2 linked regions of the Coturnix japonica genome follow. The protein of the gene in region 2 binds, or shares a complex with, the protein of the main gene of each other region. Links are inferred from orthologs where the notes say so. Each region holds a gene or a part of one and is shown on either strand. Other genes may lie near its edges.

Region 1 (3,749 bases), on a different chromosome or scaffold from region 2:
AAAAACACTTAGTTAGAAGCAATCAAATGGTATAAAAGCAGGGAAAATGTCACTTTCATGCATTTGTGCTCTCACAGTGTCACCAAGTGAATTGTACATGCCTCTTGTCAGCAAACTTCTGTTCTGTGACCAGCACAACCAGAGCAGGATCCCACCAGCATTGGTATAAAGGAATCCAGATTGCCTATATATGTACATTAGGCACCATAGGTTTATTATGGGAGCTTTATTAGACTAGCACAATCACAAGCATTAATGAGAATTAGCAGAGTTTAAACCAACCACTGTAATCTGCAGCCAGCTCACTCTGTGCTGAGGTTTGGCACGAATGAGTACTAATGAAGGAGATGGCATAGAGGTTAAGATGGGGTCAGAGCAGGTTTTATCAGTGGCAGTACCACCTTGCAGCTGTAAGCAGGAGGAAGCTCAAGACACCTTCCATGTGGATATGCCACTGGTAAATAAAGGTCAGCCACTCTAAAGCCAGAGAGAAGAACTCAACGAAGCTTCTACCCAACCATATAATGAAGGTAGGTAATAGCTTTAGCAGCTCTACTGCTCCATCCCATGAGTCTGTATTTGGCCAGCACGTCAAAGAGTGATGGGAGGACAGAGGTGCTGAAAACAACACACAGAGGAACTGGAATCACCACAGCCTGGCAATGGGGTCCTGAAGAATTCTCACAGCCTTCAGCTTGGTGACTGAGAGCTGTTCCCACTTGGTGAGGATGGGTAAGCAGGATCAAAAGTCCTCATAACTGGTGAGTGCAGGCCAGATCCTGCTCTCTTGCTGCTCTCAGCACAGAGGAGACACAAGTTATAATTTTCCAGGTTGAACAAAAAACAGGCTGTGCAAGCAACCACCAAACCCTCTGCTCAGCAGCTCTTCACCATGACTGTTCTGCATTTGGATGCTGATGACACATCCAGAGAAGCACTGCAGCTACCAGTGGCCTGGCAGGAGATCCACCTTCTCTTCTTCTTCCCAGCCATCCTGAGCAGGGGGGTGCAGCTCCTGGCAGGTTCAGGATGAGGCCCTGGTGGTGCACAAAGCCACCTGATGCCTGAAGCCTCCTGCATCCCCAGCACTTTATCCTTCCCGTGTTTCTTCTCCAAGGGTTACGCCAGCCCTGCTAGCAATCAGCTACCAGCAGCTCAAAGCAGAGTGATAAGGTGCAGAGGTTTCCACTCAGACACTTCCTGCTGTTACCCACATTGCTTCCTGCTCAAAACAGAGGACCCTGGGGCAGTGACATCTGGCCCCAGAGTCATAATACACCCTGTAGCTCGACTCACCTCCCAGTCTATGCAGGACACGGGTGACTGCATTGGAGCAGCCTTCGCAGGTCATGTCCACAAAGAACTCGTGTTTCTGCAAGAAGACAGATGAGGGTTCAGCAGCATTCACCACCACCTGGAGGGTCCTCTGGAGGCTGCCTGCTCCAACCATGCACTGGAATCAGGACACCTCCAGGGCCAGCACAGCTCTCAGGGGGTTCTCCTGGCCCTGCTAGGCAGGGGGGTTGGAACTACATGATCCTTGAGGTCCCTTCCAACCCGGGTCATTCTGTGATTCTGTGATTCTCCTGGACCCATTGTATGCACAGCCCAGGAGGAGCAAGCCTGCTGCTTTGCTCTGCAATGCCTATCCTATCATATATCATATCATCATGCCCCAAACTCATAAAAACATCATGAAAATAAGCTTGAGGACCACTACCCGCAGTACTCACAGTGCACACATGCGTGGCCCTAAGGCTATCCACTGTGCTCAGCCTTCTGTACGGGACAGGCCCTATCTCCTTCACCTGATATCCTTAAACAAGAAAATCAATGCTGCTCCCTGTCTCCCACCCTCAACCCCTCCATCTTTTTACTCCAAACCACCTTTAACCCCCCACTATCATCACAGCGCGGATCAGTGCGGAACTGAGCAAAACCAAAGCGCTCAGCATCACCATTTATCACCATTCCTATGCGGAACTGGCATTTCCTTCATGTTCTGACAAGCTCAAGGTGGTTCCATCCCCCGGCCCTTCGCTGTCCCCCCCGCCGCCCTCCCGTCCCGCACCCACCGGCATGGCGTGGCTCCGGCTCCCGGTTCCCGGCTCGGAGGAAGGGGCGGCGCTGAGCTCAGCTCCGCACAGCGCCCCCGGGGCCCGAGGAGGCTCGGTAGGGTACGAGCTGCCCGTGAAGCTTCAATGTTCGGCTCTTAGTGAGACAAGTCATTTGCTGCGGGTGTTTGGGGGCTTTTTGGTGTGGTCTTAAGGCTGAGCAAAGCTGTTTGAATGGCCTTTTAGGGACGATGTATGTTTTAGGATGTTTTTGTTCTGAGAACAGCCCCTTGGTTATGTTGCTCTTCCCGTTTTCCTGATCGGTGAGGCTGAATGGCAGCTCTATGGGTCACAGCAAAGCAGGATTAGGGCTGAAGGCCTTTGCTCTGCTCACCCAGGGGGATGCCAACTGAGAGCCCATAGACATTCATTGTGCTGCACACAGGACCTGGCTGCTGTGCTGCTCTATCACAACGTGAGCTCCCTTTCCTCCCAATGCCGCCGTGGTCCCAGCAGTGGTTATTTGAGCTGTGGGTCACTGCTCTGACGTTGAGCCCCACAGCTGTGATTGATGCGCTGGCAGATTGTGCTGCAGCCCTATAAATAGCCGGGCACACAGGGAGGGGGGTGGGCAGGGCTGGGATGTGGTGGTGGGGAGGGACTCAGTCTGAGACAGTCCAATATATCTGATAGTGCTTCATGTCATAGATATGATGGGATACAAACACAGCCTGCTCAGCCAGCTACCTGCTGCTCCTCCATCCTGCTGTCCTCAGCATCCACACCTGCACTATGTGTTGTTCAGATGAGGCTCAGGGGGTCAGAGGCGACCTAGTGAGGCCCATTGGAGATCTCGCAGCCTGCTCTTAGTGATAACCAATGCCCGTCCCAGCGCTGCCCCCCAGCAGGGGGTGGTACGGGGCACTCAATGCCGCCCCTCGTGCGGGGTGACTGTCCCTTTAAGGCCCTGCCTGTCCATCATAGCCCGTCGCGCCCTCCCATTGGATAGGATTGGATAGGTCCCGCCCCCATCTCTAACGGGGTTTACCAGCACCTTCTCAAGGGCGCTGCTGTGCGCTTCAACCACACTACGGCGTCACGCCTGCCCCGCCTTTCGCGCCTGGTCTCGCGGTCAGCGTCGTCCTATTGGCTACCGTTAGGTCTAGCCCCGCCTCAGCACCGAGAGCTTCGCCTCCTATTGGTTCGGATCGCTGTCTGTCAATCTCCCCGCTCCGCGCAGCCAGGCCGCGTGGTTGATAGAGTGAGCTGCCATTCATTTATCATCCCGCCTCCTTTCCCCTCTCCGAACCAATCAGCGTCCGAATGAAGGAGAGCGGCGCTGTGTGATTGGTGGAGCAGCCTCCCGCCGGGTTAGGCTGCGCGCCGGATATATGTAGCCGGCGGCAGAGCACGCCGTTGCGTGAGGTGCTTGTCGTCCGCCGGGCAGGCCTGTGCTCCTGCGACGCCTCCCGCTGCCGTCCCGCTCCGCCCGCAGGTGAGGGGGGCAGGGCCGGGCTGGGAGCGGGGCCGCGGCCTCGTGGGGATGGCGGAGGGCTGCGTGCACCGGGGCGATCCCATTTCCATCCCCCTCAGCGCTGCCCCCTATCCCCGGGGTAGGCCGAGGCCTGGAGGGGGGGGATGGGGTTGGGGTTGGGGATGGGCCCCGCTCGTTGCCGGCCGTCGCAGCGCGGTGAG
Region 2 (3,649 bases):
AACAGGAAGACATGTTCAATGAAAAAAGCTTTCATGTACAGCTAGCTTAGAAAACTTCATTTTTAATCAAACATTCTAATATGCTACTTAAAAAACACAGAAATCTGCTCAGGCAGGAACTGGCAAAATGCTACCGCTACATTTCTTACAACCCACATTTCTTACCTTATGTGCCATCTCTAATGGCTCTCCTCCTTTGATCAGTATGCCATTCTGAGCTCCTACTCCAGTACCAACCATCACAGCCGTTGGGGTTGCTAATCCCAGGGAACAGGGGCACGCAATACACAAGACTGTGATAGAGGCTTGGAACGCGAAGCGGATTATCACTTCAGCTGTAGAAATGCTCTTATTGTAACCCTAGTGACAGAAATTTGTTTTATTTACAAATGAAATTCAGCAATGAAAACGATGTGTTCAACTACACATTGCCTTTGATGTAAAAAGAAGGAAGTAAAAATTGCAAACATGCAAGATGAAACATTAAAACTGAATGCCCAGGAAAAATTATGCCATAGCTAAGATTAATTACAAAAATCATTACCAGTATCTAAACTTTGTTATATAGAGCATATACTCATGACTTGTTTTATTGATAAGACATTTTCTTAAATAAGGGACCACACTCTACGACAGCTCTTCTGAATGTTGATAAAATATATTTCATCAAGAGTTTATGCCACAAAGACACGAAGACTGTTCTCCTGCAACTAATAGATAGAAATGCTGGAAATCTAGTCCGCAAAAGACCTGAGAGTTAAACAACCCCAATGTACAAATCAGGATTCTCATCCTCCTCTGGCATTCACGTGGGATATGAATTCCACTGATTTTAAAGCTGAATTTACACAAAGCTATGCTAAAAAAAACTAGAGGCAGAATTGGAGCCTATGATGCAAGGGATTTTTCTCCCCACAAAGAAGGGGACACACGAACACTAAACCTTGAATTTTCCCAATTTAGTTTTTCTATTTAGTTTTTAAAAACTAAATTCCAAGAGTTGATTAATCACTGAATATTCTGTACATGAAAACGTCAGAGGGAAGTTACAGTACAGAACAGATAGAAATTACAGGGATGAAAATAATTTCATGCATTCCCAGCCCACAGCTGTCTGCAAGAATAATCTAAAATGGGACTGCTGCAGCCCAATAGATCTGTAGGCTTATTTTATGTGAAATATTGAAGAAATCGTTTAAGGAGATTGACTTACCAGAAAATATTTTTCTACTATTTCAAAATCCACAAATCCAATTATAATCCAGGCAAAGAGGGTAACCACAGAGACAACCACAATAAAAGGAACAAAGTAGCCGCTAATTTTGTCTGCAAATTGTTGTATAGGAGCCTAGGAAGAAGAAAAAACAAGTGTCAGCTCCATCAACACCATGCTGTCTTGTATGACTTCAGACATAACCATAATCATAAACAAATCTCAGCACATTAGGCAAACCACGCTTTGTAATTACATTATTTACTCTGTAAGATGATGAGATTTGAATCAGTGGATCATATCAAAGTTCCCATTCAGTAAAATAAAACAAACAAAACCAAAATTCACGGTCCAGCTGCAATTCATATCTAAACAATCCTAATCGTTTTGCAAGTGATTTGGTGTGCTGATGCCCAGCTACAACAAAACCCAAACTCTTAGGTTGATAATACTCTACCTTTGAGGTCTGGGCCTCCTCCACAAGTTTAACAATCTGTGAGAGAGTTGTGTCAGCTCCAACGTGGGTTGCTGAAATCAGCAGTGATCCATTCTGATTAATGGAACCAGCAATCACTGTGTTGCCAGGCTTTTTAGTCACAGGCATCGCTTCACCTAAAGAAAGGTCAACAAGAGATAACTGTTGGAGCTTTTGCAGCAATGTTATTTCTGATCATGACTACCAACTCTTTTATTAAAAAAAAATTTCAACTTTTATTCTTCAGATTCATTTAAAAGAAAACAAAAACATGCTTACGCTTGCAAACGAAACAGATGCTCACCTGTGATAAGAGATTCATCCACCATAGAGTGTCCCTCAATAACACGACCATCCACTGGGAATTTGCCTCCCGGCACCACTTTGACAATGTCACCTCGCTGAACCAGCTCAACATCAACTTGCTCTTCACTGGAGAGTTTGTTAAACAAGAGATTGTTAACTGAAGTTAACCAGGCAAAAGCACTAAACATAAAGCATAATTCCACTGGATGACACTGTTAACTTAAACAAAGGCTGTTTTATAGAGCACTAAACCTATTGTATGTTAATTTACTTTTCAGCTGAGAAAATCCACTTATTTGCTTACAAGCAAAAATGAGTGAGACTGCAATAAAACAAACTGCAGTAGTGTTTACTTTTCTGCATTTTAACATTTTCAAATACAAATCTGAAGTTATTTTCTTCATAGTTCTACAGAATTATAACATCTGACTGTGAATTTCATGTATTATCAACAAAAATGGAATGATAGAAAATGCAAATGATGAAGATACCTTAAGAGAATGTTATCAGGGCCCAAGGTAACAATAGTTGCTTCAGTAGCTTGTAATGAAATTAGTCTTGCCAGTGCTTCTGATGTTTTACCCTAGAATAATAATTTTCATATTTTTCTGACTATGTATTGCAAAAAAATCGTAGGGTAAACGACAACTTCATATGCTGCAATTTACTCTGTTAAGAAAATACTTTCTGAACATGGATTTGTATTATTTCATAGTTTTTACTGGTTTAGGTATTGAAAATGATTTTATAGCAACAACAACAAAAGGTTAAAAAAATATAACAAAGCTTTTGCAGCTGATTTTTTTAAGGTATGCACCATTCTGAAATCATATTCAGTGTCTTAAAGCTTGTAGATACAACGTTTTCCATTCAGTGACACCAAGAACAAATGTTTACTCTGTACTGTAGGCAGCACAAAACTTCAGCCTTCCACCATCACTACTGAGAGCCATCTGAAATACAGCTGCCATGCTCTTTTCTGCCCAACACAAGTACTTCTACTTCCCTTACCTTTGCAACGTGCTCCAGCCACCGGCCCAATGAGATGAACGCCAGCAGCATGGGAGGTGTGTCAAAGAAAGTCACAGGGTTTACTTTTGCTTTCTCAGCCATTGCAACTAGAAGAATAACAAATGAGTAGACGAACGCAATGGAGGTTGCCAGAACAATGAGCACATCCATGTTTGCAGTTCTGTGCTTCAACGCTTTGTATGCCTGTATATAGAAGTGCCAGCCTCCAAATATCTGTAACAGCAATGGCACCTGTTATATTCTGTACACACATTCGTAACACACAACAGCACTATTTTTCCAAAAGAAATAGCTCTTTTTTTTTGTCATTTGTCTTCTCCATCACTTACTGAACCAACTCCTATCTCTGCTCAAGAGACAGATCTTCCCCTTAGTATTCCCAGATTACATCACCACCATGCAGCTCTACCAGCTCCTTCCTATGCCCACTGACTAGAGCTAGACAAGCTGCCTCAGATGCTGTCAGACTGCATAGCACCCACACACGGATTGACCTACCCTTAACAGTCCCCAGCACTGTTTATGTTAGCATGGAGTGGTGGCACCTCAGAATTATTTTCCATTAGTGTAACTACAGTCACTTGTCAAATTTAATTTCTCCATTGTTTTTCACCTTACATGTT

What was found. The genes of interacting proteins can lie anywhere in the genome.
Region 1: the proteins of ATP7A (region 2) and ATOX1 are in contact, whole or in part, in an NMR structure (PDB 2K1R), measured with the Homo sapiens proteins. The link is inferred for Coturnix japonica from reciprocal best matches to the Homo sapiens genes ATP7A and ATOX1. Residues at the interface, in NP_000043.4 of Homo sapiens: Cys19, Asn20, Ser21, Cys22, Trp24, Thr25, Gln29, Asp67, Asp68, Met69, Gly70, Phe71, Asp72; in NP_004036.1 of Homo sapiens: Thr11, Cys12, Gly13, Gly14, Cys15, Ala18, Arg21, Val22, Lys25, Lys57, Thr58, Gly59, Lys60.

The regions. Positions count from the first base shown.
Region 1 is NC_029528.1:5,159,436-5,163,184, forward strand, and holds the start of ATOX1 (copper transport protein ATOX1), read right to left. Parts: upstream 2,208-3,749; 5' UTR 2,082-2,207; coding exon 2,076-2,081; intron 1,373-2,075; coding exon 1,297-1,372; intron 1-1,296. UniProt on the Homo sapiens protein: Binds and deliver cytosolic copper to the copper ATPase proteins. May be important in cellular antioxidant defense.
Region 2 is NC_029519.1:12,219,290-12,222,938, reverse strand, and holds part of ATP7A (copper-transporting ATPase 1), read right to left. Parts: intron 3,240-3,649; coding exon 3,006-3,239; intron 2,578-3,005; coding exon 2,486-2,577; intron 2,121-2,485; coding exon 1,993-2,120; intron 1,826-1,992; coding exon 1,671-1,825; intron 1,349-1,670; coding exon 1,214-1,348; intron 361-1,213; coding exon 166-360; intron 1-165. UniProt on the Homo sapiens protein: ATP-driven copper (Cu(+)) ion pump that plays an important role in intracellular copper ion homeostasis.